Caenorhabditis elegans: one gene and its partners. The protein of the gene in region 1 purifies or fractionates together with the protein of each later gene. This does not show direct contact. Each region holds a gene or a part of one and is shown in the gene's direction. Other genes may lie near its edges.

The links.
Region 2: the proteins of hrde-1 (region 1) and Y94H6A.5 purify together in Caenorhabditis elegans (affinity purification with mass spectrometry, with the first as the bait; one study listed by BioGRID). This does not show direct contact.
Region 3: the proteins of hrde-1 (region 1) and F55F8.2 purify together in Caenorhabditis elegans (affinity purification with mass spectrometry, with the first as the bait; one study listed by BioGRID). This does not show direct contact.

What each region holds. Positions count from the first base shown.
Region 1 is NC_003281.10:4,171,798-4,177,938, reverse strand, and holds hrde-1 (Argonaute protein hrde-1), read left to right. Parts: upstream 1-1,779; 5' UTR 1,780-1,785; coding exon 1,786-1,894; intron 1,895-1,945; coding exon 1,946-2,156; intron 2,157-2,201; coding exon 2,202-3,155; intron 3,156-3,204; coding exon 3,205-3,729; intron 3,730-3,776; coding exon 3,777-4,725; intron 4,726-4,770; coding exon 4,771-4,961; intron 4,962-5,010; coding exon 5,011-5,170; 3' UTR 5,171-5,602; downstream 5,603-6,141. Other genes in the region: utp-11 (putative U3 small nucleolar RNA-associated protein 11), read left to right, coding at 67-273; C16C10.13 (Rab3 GTPase-activating protein catalytic subunit), read right to left, coding at 373-681, 726-995, 1,040-1,156; C16C10.4 (putative histone deacetylase complex subunit SAP18), read right to left, coding at 5,874-6,011, 6,112-6,141. UniProt on the Caenorhabditis elegans protein: Argonaute protein which is involved in the endogenous small interfering RNA (endo-siRNA) pathway and is required for RNA-mediated gene silencing (RNAi) in the germline.
Region 2 is NC_003282.8:2,700,947-2,705,533, reverse strand, and holds the start of Y94H6A.5 (RNA helicase), read left to right. Parts: upstream 1-1,556; 5' UTR 1,557-1,563; coding exon 1,564-1,716; intron 1,717-2,032; coding exon 2,033-2,224; intron 2,225-2,478; coding exon 2,479-2,570; intron 2,571-3,489; exon of another isoform or gene 3,490-3,559; intron 3,560-3,583; coding exon 3,584-3,713; intron 3,714-4,587. Other genes in the region: ubc-8 (UBC core domain-containing protein), read left to right, coding at 398-618.
Region 3 is NC_003279.8:5,645,838-5,651,603, reverse strand, and holds F55F8.2 (ATP-dependent RNA helicase), read left to right. Parts: upstream 1-1,947; 5' UTR 1,948-1,954; coding exon 1,955-2,110; intron 2,111-2,203; coding exon 2,204-2,568; exon of another isoform or gene 2,569-2,627; coding exon 2,628-3,140; intron 3,141-3,417; coding exon 3,418-3,542; intron 3,543-3,601; coding exon 3,602-3,726; intron 3,727-3,827; coding exon 3,828-4,227; intron 4,228-4,450; coding exon 4,451-4,560; intron 4,561-4,603; coding exon 4,604-4,945; intron 4,946-5,027; coding exon 5,028-5,132; 3' UTR 5,133-5,235; downstream 5,236-5,766. Other genes in the region: F55F8.3 (Periodic tryptophan protein 2 homolog), read left to right, coding at 1-325, 384-857, 1,112-1,218, 1,283-1,401, 1,458-1,641; col-53 (Col_cuticle_N domain-containing protein), read right to left, coding at 5,290-5,381, 5,428-5,646.

The sequences.
Region 1 (6,141 bases):
CAAGTCAGAGTAAGTACCCCTTAAATATCTAAAACAAATGAAAAATCTTAATAAAAATTATTCCAGAAAGCCGATCGTGTACGTCGTACTCGATACAACGAGCTCATCAAACGCGTGGAACGTGCCAAGGAGCTTCAAGTGGTCGTGGACAAGCTGGAATTGAAGAAACAATTGGCAGCTGGAAGCAAATCAGAATTGAAGCCTCAAAAGGTCAAAAAGGCGAAAGCTATGCGAGCAGCCGTCTACAAATGGACCTATGAACGAAAGAAGTAGTTAATTTCTTTTTTTTTAATCCCATTTTATTCTGAATCTTCTTTTTTGTTAATTTTTGCTGTTGAGTTTACATTTTATGCGTTATTGAAATTGTTGACTTTATTGAAACATTGAATTTAAAGAGATCTCTGTCGTTGTCACTGGAAACGGGACCATCGTCTCTCTCGTCAAATCAATCGTCTTTAAAACAAGCGGAGTCAGTGAAGAGGTCTGAGTGAAGATGAGCACGGCACACATGTTGGAATCGCAGCAACAATCTTTTTGCTGATACAATATCTTGTGTTGCACTAGCATCGATCGCAGTTCGCATTTTGGCATCACTGACACAGGTTGTTGACACTTTTGAACATCTGGGAATGGATGAGACATGATGAAGACGGAATCGAATTGACTGAATTTTTCAGGGTCCTAAACAGATAACTGGATTTTCAGAATTTTGTTGAAAAGGATACCGTATCCTTGACACATCCACTGTATATTCTTCCTGGCACCAGTGCCACCACATCAGTCATATTCATAGAATGACATGGATAATTCTCTGGATCATTTAGAAATTTTACTGCATTTGATGATCGAGAAAATATTGATCCAGTATATGGAAGACTTGTCGTGTTCTGTTCCCTATACACTGCTAACAAACCACACAGAAAACGAGGAAATAAATCTGGAAGATCTAGAAACGAGTGGTGTTCTAGACAAGTCTTGACCAGTTCTGATAGGCTCTGAAACTCTTTTCTAGACTTGAAAAATGACTTATTAAGCTCACAATTTTATCTTCAAGTTCTCGAATTGTCCAATCGGGTTCATATTTCTTTTTATCTTCTAGATAATTTAGAAACTTAATTTCCGTCGCATTCGTCTTCACTTCAGCTAACGGATTCATCAAAATATGAGCAATTGATTCATTAAGGAATGGCTGGAGCAGCCTGTTTGGAATTATCGGCTTTTCGAGCAACGCCTTTTCCTTCAGAATTTTAGGCATATGTTTGAGATGAATTATGTCGCATTTTATTGAATTTGCCAGAAAAGAGACGAAAAAGCAGAAAACTTGAAAAACCAGCATCGTTTTGATTGTAGAAATGAATTAAATAATTAATATTTATTGAAGCATAACAAATTAATTTTTTAAAAATATTGTTTTCTATTATTTTATTTGAAATGTTCAGAATAGTCGTTAAGTTTTTGAAAACTAATAAAATTCGATTTCTAGACGTGAAATTTTTCGAAGAGATCACAATGCAAGCGCGCTCTATTGTTACAACGCATGTGGCGCCACGATTTGAACTTTTGTACCGCCACGGATGTGTTTTCTCGAATTTTCTGGCCTAAAATTTATTTATTTTCATTTCATTTCTCTCCTTGCGTTTTTTCTCATTTTACTTGAAAATCTCAATCAGGACGGTAAAGCTTTTGTTTCATTTACTTTTTCTTAGTAAATTTCACTGTTTTATCTCAATTACATCTGAAATTCGCATCGTTTTTTCGTTTCATCGTTTCTTATTTCAGTCAAACATGGCCGACTTGCTCGACAAAATTATGGGAAGTTCGTCTTCCAACAGGATTCCCAAACGAGACAACCGAATGAATCAGGACAAGGACGAACCGACGTCAAAGAGAAGTGGTTCGTTTAGAATCAACATTATGCCTAGGAGTTCAAAATTGTCTTTTTCAGCACCAATGTTCTCTACTCCGAAGTCAACAACACCAATTGGACGGGACTCTTTCGCAACGATGGACACGATGAATGTTCAGATGAACATGTTTCCAGTGGACATCAAGGATATGCCCCACAAGATCCAACGCTTTCAAGTTGACGTCATCGTCTGTTCCAGCAACGGAAAACAGATCAATGCCAACCTTGGAGTTTTGGCGGCCAAGGGAGAGTAAGTATTTAATTTGTATAACCGCTCAAAATCAGTACTTTCCAGTGTCAATTCCCATAACCGTCGCTTGGCACAATACTACATCATGAGAACAGTACATGACAAGCTTCTGGTGAAGTTCAGTGGAAAGAGTCACCACTTCCTTGCTTACGACTGCGCTGCGACTCTCTATCTTCCGGAGGGAGTCTACACTGGTGACGATCAAGAAGAAGTCACGTTGACGATCGATGACTTCCCGAAGGAAGAATGGAAATTCGTGTCGAAGTTGTCTCGCAGAAAGGACGATTCTTACCTTGTTGTTCTCAAACCTGCCGGATTTGTGTACACCCAAGGAGAAGTTGCCCAGGAGGAGGCTAATCGTATGGAGTTGACTCGTATTATCGAAATCGTCACTTCACAAAAGCTCAACAATGAGGATTACTTACAATTTGGTAATGCCACATTCCCACGTCTTTCTCCGCCACACTCGGAACCTGATGCTATTTCGGAGATCCGCTCAGGTTTTGCGAAAGTATCTCGTCTATCGCAAAACGGAGGTGGCAAAGCTTTCATGACGGTTGATACGAAGATTTCTCCATTTTACAAGGATACATCAGTTATCAAGTTTTCAAGCAACAAGTTATCCGAAATGAAAGGTGGAGGCGGTGGAAGAGGCGGATACGGAAGAAGTGACTCGCGAGACTCTCGTGGTGGATACCGTGGCGGCCGTTCCGACTCGAGAGACTTTCGTGGTGTCTATGGAAACCGAGGTGGCAACGACAGGTACCGAGATGAAAGCAGAGGACGTCGCGACATGTACGATTCCCGTCGAGACAGTGGTTCTTCAAATGGAGCGGACTACTCTCCGAGTGATGCTGCTGAGTTGGAACACGCTTTTGGCGAAAGAGGAAACACGAAGCGATGCATTGAAGAAGCACTCAAAGGATTGGACGTGGAATGCACTCACTTGAAGGGTAACCTTATTCGCGTATCCTCGATTGCCGAGAACAATGCTGAGAAGTAAGTTATTCGATAGTTATCATCAGCGTGATAACAATTTGTTTTGTAGCACTTCGTTCATGATGAAGGACGACAAGGGAGAACGCGAGGTCACCGTGGCGGAATATTTCCTGTTGCAGTACAACATCAAGCTGAAATATCCGAGACTTCCTCTCGTCGTCTCAAAAAGATTCAAACATGAATCTTTCTTCCCAATGGAGTTGCTTCGAATTGCTCCAGGCCAGCGGATCAAGGTCAACAAGATGAGCCCGACAGTACAATCGGCGATGACAGGAAGAAATGCGTCTATGCCACAGCATCATGTGAAGTTGGTTCAAGATATTCTCCGCGACAACTTGAAGCTTGAACAAAATAAGTACATGGATGCTTTCGGAATCAAACTGATGTCGACTGAGCCAATCCAAATGACTGCGAAGCTCCTCCCACCAGCTCAAATCAAGTTCAAGGGCCAGACTTACATGCCTGACATGAGCCGTCCAGCGTTCCGCACACAGGACAAGTTTGTCGAACCAGCACGGATCAGAAAAATTGGTATTGTTGTCTTTGACAACTGTATCCAAATGAGACAGGCCGAGTAAGTCGAACGTTGTTTTCTTCTGCTTTATAATATTCTATTTTCAGAGATTTCTGCGACAAGCTGTCCAATTTCTGTCGTGACAATGGAATCACGGTCGAAAAGGACTCGCGAGATTGGTCCATCCGTGAATTGAACTCCAGTGATTCCGTTGCTATCCAAAATCTGATGAAGAAATGGCTCGATGATAGAGTGGACATTCTTGTTGGAATAGCAAGGGAGAAGAAGCCGGATGTTCACGACATACTCAAATACTTTGAGGAATCGATTGGCCTGCAAACAATCCAATTGTGTCAACAGACTGTCGATAAAATGATGGGAGGTCAAGGTGGACGCCAAACGATTGACAACGTCATGAGAAAGTTCAACCTCAAGTGTGGTGGAACCAACTTCTTCGTCGAGATCCCGAATGCTGTGCGTGGAAAAGCAGTGTGCTCAAACAATGAAACATTGAGAAAGAAACTTCTCGAACATGTACAATTCATCGGATTCGAGATTTCTCATGGCGCATCACGCACTTTGTTCGATCGCAGTAGATCACAAATGGATGGTGAGCCATCAGTTGTTGGAGTCTCGTATTCCCTGACCAACTCGACGCAGCTCGGAGGCTTCACATACCTTCAAACCCAAAAGGAGTACAAACTTCAAAAACTTGATGAATTCTTCCCAAAGTGTGTCAGATCGTACAAGGAGCATTCGAAGACACTCCCAACAAGAATCGTCATCTATCGTGTTGGTGCTGGAGAAGGAAACTTCAATCGTGTTAAGGAAGAAGTCGAAGAGATGCGACGAACATTTGACAAGATTCAGCCCGGATACCGTCCACATCTCGTGGTGATCATCGCACAAAGAGCTTCACATGCTCGCGTTTTTCCATCATGTATCAGTGGCAACAGAGCGACGGATCAGAACATCCCATCTGGAACATGTGTCGAGAATGTCCTGACATCCTACGGATACGACGAGTTCATTTTGTCTTCACAGACGCCGCTTATTGTAAGTTGTTCATTAGTTAATTTATTAAATGAAAGTTTCTTTTAGGGTACCGTTCGTCCGTGCAAGTACACGATCCTTGTCAATGATGCCAAATGGTCTAAAAACGAGCTCATGCACTTGACGTACTTCCGCGCATTCGGTCATCAAGTGTCCTACCAGCCACCATCGGTTCCAGATGTTCTTTATGCGGCAGAAAATCTGGCTAAACGAGGACGCAACAATTACAAAATTCATCAGTAATAGTTTATTTTCCTAAAAATCTTTATCAAAAACAAATGTTTCCAGGCGTTACGTGAATTTGCAAGCAGTTGAGAACCGCATCATCAAAGACCATTCGGAACTCATCAACGAAGACATGCGAGAAGAACTGGCGGCAGCCATTGTTGATGAGATGTCCGTTGCAATGAACGGAATGACCATTCCGAAGCGAAACTTCTGGGCGTAATCCCGAGATTCTCTCTTTTATTGTCACGTATTCACCCCCTTTACATATTACCAACATTTTTTATCCACTACCCTATACCTACTCTCTATACAAGTACTTAAATTCCCATGCTTTTGTTTTTCTGAACATTCTTTATTACATTTTTCCCCATAATTGTATCGTATTCCCCTTTATGTTTTTATAATTTCAACTAAGAATCCTTTTGTAATTTAATCTAGAGTAGAGTACATTGACACATAGTTTGAATAGTAGATACTCCTGTTTTACCTGCCTTTTTTTCTGTGCGAATTTCCTCCAACTTTCTTATTAGGAGTTTTCGAAGGCGAAAGAAACTTCCAATTAGAACGTTTTTGGAAATTTCGATTTTCAATAATCTTACTTGCTCTACCCCCCGTCCATTATCATTTATTAAGCAATAAATTATTCGAGAAGAAATTTTAGTTTTCGCTGAAAGCAGTTTGATCGCGATCATTTTTCCGATTTTTGCATAATCACAAAACAAAACTTTTTTAAAATTAAATAGCTTGCAATTTTGACCAGTAAATGTGAAAGTAAACTTTGTTGTAAATTGTTAAGTATGTTGAACAATTGTAAAGGAAAACATGATTTACGCAGAATATTACATTGCACGTTATAAAAAAAAGAATCGACACATTAATAAATACAGAAGAGTATCATTGAATTTTAACACACAGTTAGGCGTCTAGCGAATCGGACTACGTTGGCGTTGACGATGATCGAAACGGTCTCCCTGCTCCCGGTTATTGAAACGACGTCCTTGACTTGGCAAGGAAATCGCGACGTCGACGAAATCACCGACTTCGAATTTGCATTGTTGTAGCTGAAAAACAAAGTTCAATCAAAACGAATTTAATATTGGAGATATTATTTCCGAATTCAAATAAAATTCTAATGGTTCCGTGGTGTCAAAAATCACATACAGTTTTGTTGTCATCAATGCCACGCTCTCC
Region 2 (4,587 bases), on another chromosome or scaffold:
GCGAAAAAAATTTTTTTAGAGAAAAAAATGTTGATGGCCGAACTTTTGAATTTCTAGGCCACCTACTCGAAACTGGCCGTTTTATTTTATTTGGAGCTTTTTTTAATTCAAATTATTAAAGTATATTTTAATCCTTTTTTTTAATTCGGCAAAAAACAATCGGGGACTAGTTTTTCACTTGGTGGACTAGAAATTCTAAAAGTTAGGCCATCATTTTTTTTTTTGCTTTTTTTTTGCTTTCTGCGTACTTTTTACGGTTCTAAGTGGTTTTTGAGGTTGAAATTGCAAAATTTTAAGAGTTTGAGCGAATTTTTCCATGTTTTTAGCAATTTTTTGATCAAAAAAATGGAATTTTGCCGATTTTTATCGATTTTTTTAAATTTTTTTTTATTTTCAGAATACGTAATGCGATTTGCAAGTGAACACCGTGCCATAGAAGGATGCTCCCCGGGAAACGCCTATTCCATATCCTCAACACCCTCGGAGCACTACGATGGTCACCCGCAGGACGATGACGACGAAAGTTGTAGTTCAATGTCGGAATTTGATGAAAGTGAAGTGAACTTTGATGATTTTGATGCTGACGACACAATGACTGTAGATCAAATGGAATTTTAATGGGGGAAATATTCGGAAAACTTTTATTTTCCGCTTAAAATTCTTTTTTTTTTGTTCAATTTGTCCGATATTTCCCGTGAAAATTAAGTCAAAACTAGTTATAAATTGAGATTTTTGAGCAAAACTCACACTAGAATGATGCAAAAATTGATGATGGCCGAACTTTTCTGAAATTTTTTTTTTCTAGGCCACCAAGTGCAAATATTTATTTTCATCAATCTAGGGGTAAAAATGCTCGAAAATTTCAAATTTTCCACTCAAATCTCTTCATTTTTCCCATAAATCACCAATTTTTTTGACCTCAAGCCCCCCCCCCCCCCCAAATTTTCTCTTCAATTCCCCCCGAAATTCAGGATTTTTTTGTATTTTTTCCCAGTTTCTTCCTTCTTCGTGTGTCCATATCTTCGTTGCCCCCGTTTTTTTTCTCGTTGTCCTTACTCATTTCCTATGAGCACCTGTGTAGAATGTGTAGAAAATTGTAAATATTATCGATTTTTCCTTTTCGCGGACTGCCTTTCCCTGTTTTTTTCGCCCAGGTTTTCCTGTATTTTTGTGAATTTGTTTTTTTTTGGAATTTCTCGCTAGATTTTGTGTACATAATAAAGCTTTTTCATGAGAAAAACAGGCATTTTCAGAAAATTATTAATTACACACAGAAAAGCTGAATTTCCCCTTGGGGTACGGTCAACATTGCCTCTGACGCGCATTGTACGCAAACACGCCACCCCTCCAGAGTGCACACAATGCAGCGGAACCTACGCGCAAATGATTTTTTCAACGAAAAATTAAATTTTAAATTCAATTTCCGCCAATTTCCAACCGAATTTCTCGATTTTTCTTGTAAATTTTGATTTAAAATTTTAAAAATCACCTATTTCTTCATTATTCGTCAATTTCCGCGACAAATTTCCCGCTAAAAATCGATATTTTCGTTTCAGGGTAAAAATGGCGTCGGACGACGAGGAAGACTTCACTCAGCTGCAAATTAATCAGAATAGAAAGCATAAAAAGGCCGGAGGATGGCAACAAATCGGTTTGGACCATTCGGTTTACAAGGCGATCGAGAAAAAAGGCTTTAATCAGCCCACGCCGATTCAGGCAAGGATTTTCGCGAAAAATTAAGGAAATAATGGCTTTTTGTAGTGGGAAATGGAGTGAAAAATTGTGAAATTTTTGATTAAAAAGATTAGAAATTCTTTAAAATCAAAATTTCCCGCGAAAAATTTAAATTTTTGAAATCACTTAAATTTGACATAAAAATCGATTTCTCCACTATTTTACCAATAAAATAGTTTAAAATTTCAATTTTTAAAGCGAAATAAGCTTGAAAATCTGGTTTTTAGCCCTCAAAAACCCGCAAAATCCCATTTTCCCCAGAAAAAAGCCGGAAACCCCCAAATTTTCCAATTTTCAGCGCAAAACAATCCCGTGTATTATGGATGGAAAAGATGTGGTGGCCATGTCACGTACAGGATCCGGAAAAACCGCCGCTTTTGTGATTCCGATGCTCCAAAAGCTGAAAAGAAGAGATACGACTGGAATTCGGGCTCTTATGGTGTCTCCGACACGAGAATTGGCTCTTCAGACGTTTAAAGTCGTCAAAGAGGTGCGAAAATTGATGAAAATCGAGGAATTGGCTGGGAAATCTGGATTTTTACCGCGAAAAAATGCTCAAAAACTTTGTATTTTCACTTGAAAACTGATTTTTTTTCCGTTAAAAATCATTAAATCGGCTAAAAATTCATTTTTTTTCTGCCTAAAAATGTTGCTTTTTCACTTAAAAAGTGTGAATTTATGCCAAAAATCTCAAAAATTTAGCTGAAAACCCCGAATTTTCACTCAAAATTGCTCATTTTTCAGCTCGGCCGCTTCACAGGACTCCGTTGTGCTTGCCTTGTCGGAGGAGATCAAATTGAGGAGCAATTCTCCACAATTCACGAGAATCCCGACATGTTAGTGAGGATTTTTTCGACGAAAAAACGCCGAAATTTCGGTCATTTTGGCCCAAAAATCGAACAAATCCGATGGTTTTGCGCAGAAAATTGGACGGTTTTCAGCGTTTTTGACCCACAAAATGCAAAAAATTGCAATTTTTTAGGATTTATAGCTGAGAAGCCTAAAAATCCAAATTTTAAGCTTAAAAATCCAAATTTCAAGCCTAAAAATCCAAATTTGAAGCCTAGAAATTCAAATTTTAAGCCTAAAAATCCAAATTTTAAGCTTAGAAATCCAAATTTTAAGCTTCAAAATCCAAATTTTAGGCTTAAAAATGCAAATTTTAAGCTTAAAAATCCAAACTTTAAGCCTAAAAATCCAAATTTTAAGCTCAAATTTCCAAATTTTAAGCCAAAAAATCCAAATTTTAAGCCAAAAAATCCAAATTTAAAGCCTAAAAATCCAAATTTAAAGCCTAAAAATCCATATTTTAAGCTTAAAAATCCATATTTTAAGCTTAAAAATCCAAATTTTAAGCCTAAAAATCCAAATTTAAAGCCAAAAAATCCAAATTTAAAGCCTAAAAATCCAAACTTTAAGCCTAAAAATCCAAATTTTAAGCTTCCAAATCCAATTTTTAAGCTCAAAAATCCAAATTTTAAGCCTAAAAATCCAAATTTAAAGCCAAAAAATCCAAATTTAAAGCCTAAAAATCCAAACTTTAAGCCTAAAAATCCAAATTTTAAGCTTCCAAATCCAATTTTTAAGCTCAAAAATCCAAATTTTAAGCTTAAAAATCTAAATTTTAAGCCTAAAAATCCGAATTTTAAGCCTACAAATCCAGTTTTAAGCCAAAAAATCCAAATTTTAAGCTTAAAAATCTAAATTTTAAGCCTAAAAATCCGAATTTTAAGCCTACAAATCCAGTTTTAAGCCAAAAAATCCAAATTTAAAGCCTAAAAATCCAAATTTAAAGCCTAAAAATCCAATTTTTAAGCCCAAAAAACCCATAAAATCTAAAAATTTGCAGTCTTCTCGCCACTCCTGGCCGCCTTCTTCATGTTATCGTCGAGATGGATCTTCGTCTTTCATATGTTCAATATGTTGTATTTGATGAAGCCGATCGGCTCTTCGAAATGGGTTTTCAGGATCAATTGACGGTAAAAAGGCTGAAAATCTGAAAAATTGGCTGAAAATGCTCAAAAAATTGGATTTTTCGCACAAAAATCGCATTTTTAGCGTTAAAAATGGAATTTTTAAGTGAAAAAATACAGTTTTGACCCCAAAAAATACTGAAAATCATCTAAAAATCAATGTTTTAATCTGCAGTTTTCGCCGGAAAAAATCTTTTTACCTAGAAAAAATCTGGAAATTCGCTCAAAAATCGATATTTTGGCTTAAAAATCCAGTTTTTGGATCAAAAAATATCGAAAAACCACCCAAAAATTGATATTTTAATCAAAAATCCAGTTTTTAAACCAAAAAAAAAACTGGAAATCGCTTTAAAAATCGATATTTTGATCTAAAACCCGAAGTTTTCGCCGAAAAAAATAATTTTTAAACCTCCAAAAAACGAAACAAATTTTTTTTTAATTTTTCGTTTTTTTGGAGGTTTAAAAATTATTTTTTCGGCGAAAACTTCGGGTTTTTAGATCAAAATATCGATTTTTAAAGCGATTCTCCAGTATTTTTTGGTTTAAAAACTGGATTTTTGATTGAAATATCAATTTTTGGGTGATTTTCCAATAATTTTTTATCCAAAAACTGGATTTTTAAGCCAAAATATCGATTTTTGAGCGAATTTCCAGATTTTTTCTAGGTAAAAAGATTTTTTCCGGCGAAAACTGCAGATTAAAACATTGATTTTTAGATGATTTTCAGTATTTTTTGGGGTCAAAACTGTAATTGGGGATTTTCAGTTAGCTTTAAAAATCGATATTTTGATCTCTAAAACCCGAAGTTTTTGCCGAAAAAATAATTTTTAAACCTCCAAAAAACGAAAAAAATACACTTTTCCAGTCGATTTTATCGAAA
Region 3 (5,766 bases), on another chromosome or scaffold:
ACGATCAAAATGTGGACAATTGTCGATTCACAAGCAGAAACTGTCGAAGTATCACATGAAGCACTCGATGTCAAATTTTCTCCGGCTGGAGATGAGATTGCTGTTCTTACATCGGATGGAGTCATCACTTTCTTTGAAGCAAAGGAAATGATTAATTTGGGAAGTATTGATACTAAATTGGATACTGATCCGGCTCGTGGATCACGTGACACAATTACAAGACAATCGGCGGCCAAAACAAAAACATTCACGAGAATTCGATTCTCTCCCGATGGAAATTTATTATTGGCTGGTGGAGAATCGAATAATTTCTGTCTTTACTCAGGTAATAGATTTTTTTAAAAGTTTTTAGAATTTTCAAACAATTTAATATTTTTTTTCAGTTCCGGAGCGTATGATTCTGAAGAAATGGCAAATAACAGCTAATCGAAGTCTCGATGGAGTTATTTTGGATTTCAATCGACGAAACTTCACAGAATTTGGAAATATGCAACTAGTGGATACTTCTGATGAAGAGGATGAGCTGGAGCCAAACAACAAAATGTCAATTAAGCTTCCTGGAACAAAAAATTTTGATTTGGGAGAACGAAGAGCTCGTCCTGAAGTGAATATTTATGAAGTTACATATTGTCCGACTGGAAGAAGATTCGCAATTTGTTCAACAGAAGGTGTTTCTGTATATTCATTGGATACTATTTCAATGTTTGATCCATTCCAATTAGACAGTCAAACTAATGCAGAGGTTATCAAAAGAGCTGTATGGAATAATGATTATTCAACTGCTATTATGGCTTCTCTTCGACTGAATAATGCACAATATATCACTGAATGTTTGGAATCAACTAGCATCTCACAGAGTACGTTGTTTTTATTATATTTTTTGTTGCGAAAAATTAGTTCCAAAAACGAATTTAAGGGTGGGATTTTTTGCTCAAAGTGACAGAAAATAATCCCAATATTCCAAATATAACTGTTTGAAAATTTATAGAATTTTTCTAAATTTTTTTTTATTTAAAAAATATACTGTATTTTCTGTCATTTTTGGCAAATTATTGATACTCTACAGACTCCCAAATAAAAATAAACGGAAAGCTAGAAAAGCAATTTTCAGTTCCACTTGTCGCCAGCTCACTACCGTTGATGTATGCAGAGCGTCTTCTAAAATGGATGGTTGAAGGAAATGTTATGTCATCGACACGACATGTTCATTTTTATATGGTTAGTGTGGACTTTCTAAAAATCAATTTAATCTGGAAAACATTATTATTTTTTTGATTTTTAGATTTGGCTCCGAGCGATTCTGCAACATCACGGAATGCAATTGAAAGGACGTGCTGACGTGGCAACTCTGACTGGTATCCAACAAATTGTGGCTCATCATCAACAACATATCACTAAATTGTTGGTTTTTGTCTTTAATTATTTACTGAGCACCGTTTTAAACTCCCGATTTTCAGGGCAAACCAGAACAAGTTCGCATTAAATTGGCTCGTGAAAATTCGGCAATCGAAGAAATCTGTGAAAAAGGAAGAAGAGGAAGAGGAGGATGTTAGTGATGAATCAGACGATGAAGATATTGAAGATGAAAGTGCTGGAAGCGACGATGAAGATTCTGATGATTCAGTGGAAATTATTGAATAAGCTCTACAATCTACAATTTTTAAAGAATACGTCTTATATCAAAATTTCCAGACTATTCACACTTTTTATACATATTTGTTGTTGATTTGTTACTTTCTTTTCGAATATTGTTTTTTTTTCTCAGTTTTTGTTATTTTATTCCCATTTTCTGTTATGATTTCCCAGTTGTTCTAGTTTTTTTTTTGATAAAGTAAATGTGTTTTGATTTCCGTATTTTGTTATGTTATGTTTGAGTTATTAATATCTCGATAATTCTATTTTTGCATCTTTTTTCTTTCAATTTTTAATAACTAATTTTAATTTCAGAATTAAAATGACAAATATTTCAATTCCTGGTAATTGGCAGACATGTGATGTTGAAGCAATGGATGGTGACTTCGATGATAACATGCTTCAATTCTTGGGATCTTTTGAAGAAGTTCTTCCGGAAGGTGTTGAGGTTGAGACTAAAAAAGGAATGAAGAAAAAGGTAAGTTATAGTAAAAATGTTATATTCACGAATAGTTCTAAAATAAATTTGGGACTCCTTTTTTTTTAACTAAAACTATTCATTCATATTCAGAACAAACCGAAAAAGGTTGAAAACACTGAACGCCCAGAAGAAGATGCGAAGTGTGTAGAGGAGCGACGTCTAGCCAAAAAATTGAGAAGAAAAGAACAAATGGCTGCAAATCGTAAACAGAAGAAGGAACGGTTGGCAAAAAGAAAACAGAAAGAAGCTGAGAGTTCTGCTAAAAAATCTGAAAATGCGACAGAAACTACTACCGAAAAGCCGAAAGAGCAGAAGAAAAGAAAAGGAGGAGAGAATGGAGATACAGGAAAACCAAAGAAATCCAAAAAAGAAGCATCTAAGAAAACAGATATTTCAGCTTGGAAACAATTTTATTTTCTTCCTAATGAAGTTCTTGAAGCTATTGAGCAGATGGGGTGAGCACAATTTACCATTAATTTGTTTAGATTTTCACAATGTTAATTTTTTTTTTCAGATTTTCTGAGCCGACTGAAATTCAATCAGCAGTGCTCCCCGCTGCTGTTCGTGATCGACAAGATGTTCTAGGTGCTGCTGAAACTGGAAGTGGAAAGACATTGGCATTTGGAATTCCATTGGTTGCACGTCTACTCGAATCGTCAGATGATTCACAAGAAACTGAATCTACAGAAGTTCGAGGTCCACGTGCATTGATTGTTGCTCCAACTCGTGAACTTGTCATTCAAATCATGAAACATATTAATGCTCTCATTTCCACAACTCAACTAATAGCCACATCAATTGTTGGTGGATTGGCTCAAGTGAAGCAAGAGAGAATTATTTCCCAGCAGAGACCAGATATTGTCGTTGCAACACCTGGACGATTGTGGGCCATGATGCAAGAAGCTGAAACTGGAGAGTTTTTAGCTGAATGGAAAGATTTGAAGTGTTTAGTTGTGGACGAAACTGATCGGATGGTTGAGGAAGGATATTTTGCCGAGTTGACACATATTCTCAATAAGATTCATGAGTGAGTATTTAGTAATTAGTATTTTTGAAAAGGAAATATATAGTATCAAAATTGAGAGAAATTTTACCCGTTAAATGTTGCAATTTTCTTGCAAAAATACGGTATCCTGTCTCGGCACGAATGAAACTTTGCAGCTACCGTACCCACAAGAAATGTTTCTAAATTATTTATGATTTCTAATTTTAAATTTTCTTTGGGAAGAAGATTCAACGTCAAAAATCACAGAATCTCGCGATTGGACAATATATTCCCAGAAAAAAACTCAAAATATTTTCAGAGAATCAGAAAAGGAAAAGCTTCAAACTCTCGTCTTCTCTGCGACACTTACATTTGCAAAAGCACAAGATGTAGCCGAAGAAGAAAAGAAAAAAGCGAAAGAGCTCAGTTCACAGCAAAAAATTCGTGAGTAACTTTAGAACCAAATCAGAAATTCCAAATTTTTCTAAAATAAAATCTTTCAGAACGTCTTATCAAACTGACGGGTCTTCGTGAGAATAAGCATAAAGTTATTGATTTAACACGTCAAATGGGTACAGCTGGATGCCTTGTTGAAGCACGTATCAATTGTGGAAATCTTTTGGAAAAGGTTAGATTTAGAAATTGTTTGGATGAGTTCTTTGAAAATATTTTTCAAAGTTTTTTTTCTTGAAAATAACACATTTTTAATTGTAAGAGAACTTTTTTTAGGATACTTCACTCGTATACCTACTCACAAGATACCCTGGACGTACAATTGTCTTTGTGAATTCAATTGATGCAGCTCGTAGACTATACAGTGTACTTAAATCAGTGAACATTGATCCAATGATTCTTCATGCGAAAATGATTCAAAAACAACGTCTGAAGAACTTGGAAAAGTTTTCTGAATCCAAAAACGCCGTTTTATTGGCAACTGATGTCGCAGCACGTGGATTGGATATTCAAGGAATCGATCATGTTATCCATTATCAAGTTCCCAAAAAAGTAGAAATTTATATTCATCGAAGTGGAAGAACTGCACGTGCATCACACAGAGGATTGACTGTTGTATTGGTTGATCCACCAAGTAGACAATTTTATATGAAGTTGTGCAAAGGATTAAATAGAAGTATGTGGAGAAAAATATTGAAGATAAATGTGATGCTCTGGCGTCGTTGAAAAATTGTCAATTTTTTTTGTTTTTTTTTCTGAGAAAATCGAAGAAAGTAATGTTTAGAATATGACAAAATAATTCAATTTTGTATTAATGAGAAAAATATAAGACAACACATAATTTTACATTAAAATTATGAAATTTTTACGATCATTATCTAATTAATGTTATCTTTCAGTGCAAGATCTGAACGTTTTCCCAATCGACTTTGAACCTTTGATGAATGCGATCAAGAAACGTGTGCGACTAGCTTCAGAGATTGACTCTCTTGGATTCCGTTGCAAAAAGGTATCGAACTACTTTCTAATAGCTTTTTATATTGAAATTTCAGATCAAAATGTCAGAGTCTTGGTTTGAAAAAGCTGCCCGTGCCGCAGATTTAGACTATGATGAGACGCGTCATCGAGAAATGGATGGATTGAATCTTGAAGTTGACACAATGGTCCAGAAAAGTCGCCAACTTCAAGCACAACTACGCACGGAGCTTTCCCTTCCACTTCCACGTGTTGATGGATCGGATTCGATGAAGACAAAGTACATTACTCCTGAAATTGTTGCCCGTTTGAGATCAGTTGGTGATAATGCAATTGACGTATTAAACCAGAAAATTGATGAGACAAAGGAATGGAAGAGAAAGAGCCGAAAAGCTACAAGAGAAGATGAAATGAACTCGGTAGGCTCTTTATTTCCTTAATATCCTCTGTTAGAGACAGATAAATATAGATTTTTAAAAAAGTATTTATAACTTTTTTCAGATGAAAAAATCGTTGAAATCGTCTCAAAAGAACAAGGAACGCCTCGCCGAGAAGAAAAAAAAGGAGAAAGCTGCCAAAGTGACTAAACTATCGGAAACTGATTGAAATTGTCCGATATCCCTAAATTGTTTTTGTTGACATTTAATTTTGTTTTCTGTTCTGTTATGATTTTATTTGTTTTTATTTTAATATGAAGTCGTTTGTGATTTCAAGATAAGTATGTTTATATAGAAGAAAATATAAGTCAAGGCATCAGAAAGAATCAATGTTTCTTATTCCGTTTATTCACATAGTATCCAGGGCTAACACGGGGCGGTGGACATGATTCACATGGCCATGGTTCTCCTTTTGGACCTGAAAAGTTGAGCATTATCGAAATTGTAACTTCTCTGTAACTAACCAATTGGCCCAAAAGTTCCCACAGGTCCTCTTTTTCCAATTTCTCCTTTTAATCCTTGATATCCACGTTCACCTCGTTCACCAGGTAATCCATCTTCTCCGTCTCTTCCAGTTCTTCCTTTCTCACCTGGTGGCCCACGTGGCCCTGTTTCTCCATCTTTTCCAGGTGGTCCATCAGACACATAGATATGTCCTGGTTCACCTGGTTCTCCGGCTGGTCCTATAAATTTATTAGTTTGGTGTTATTAATAACAACTTATTACTATTGTCATTATGTGAAACCGTGAGGCACACGATAACCTTCTAAGTTGGTCTCGCCACAACTTCCGAAATTTTCCGA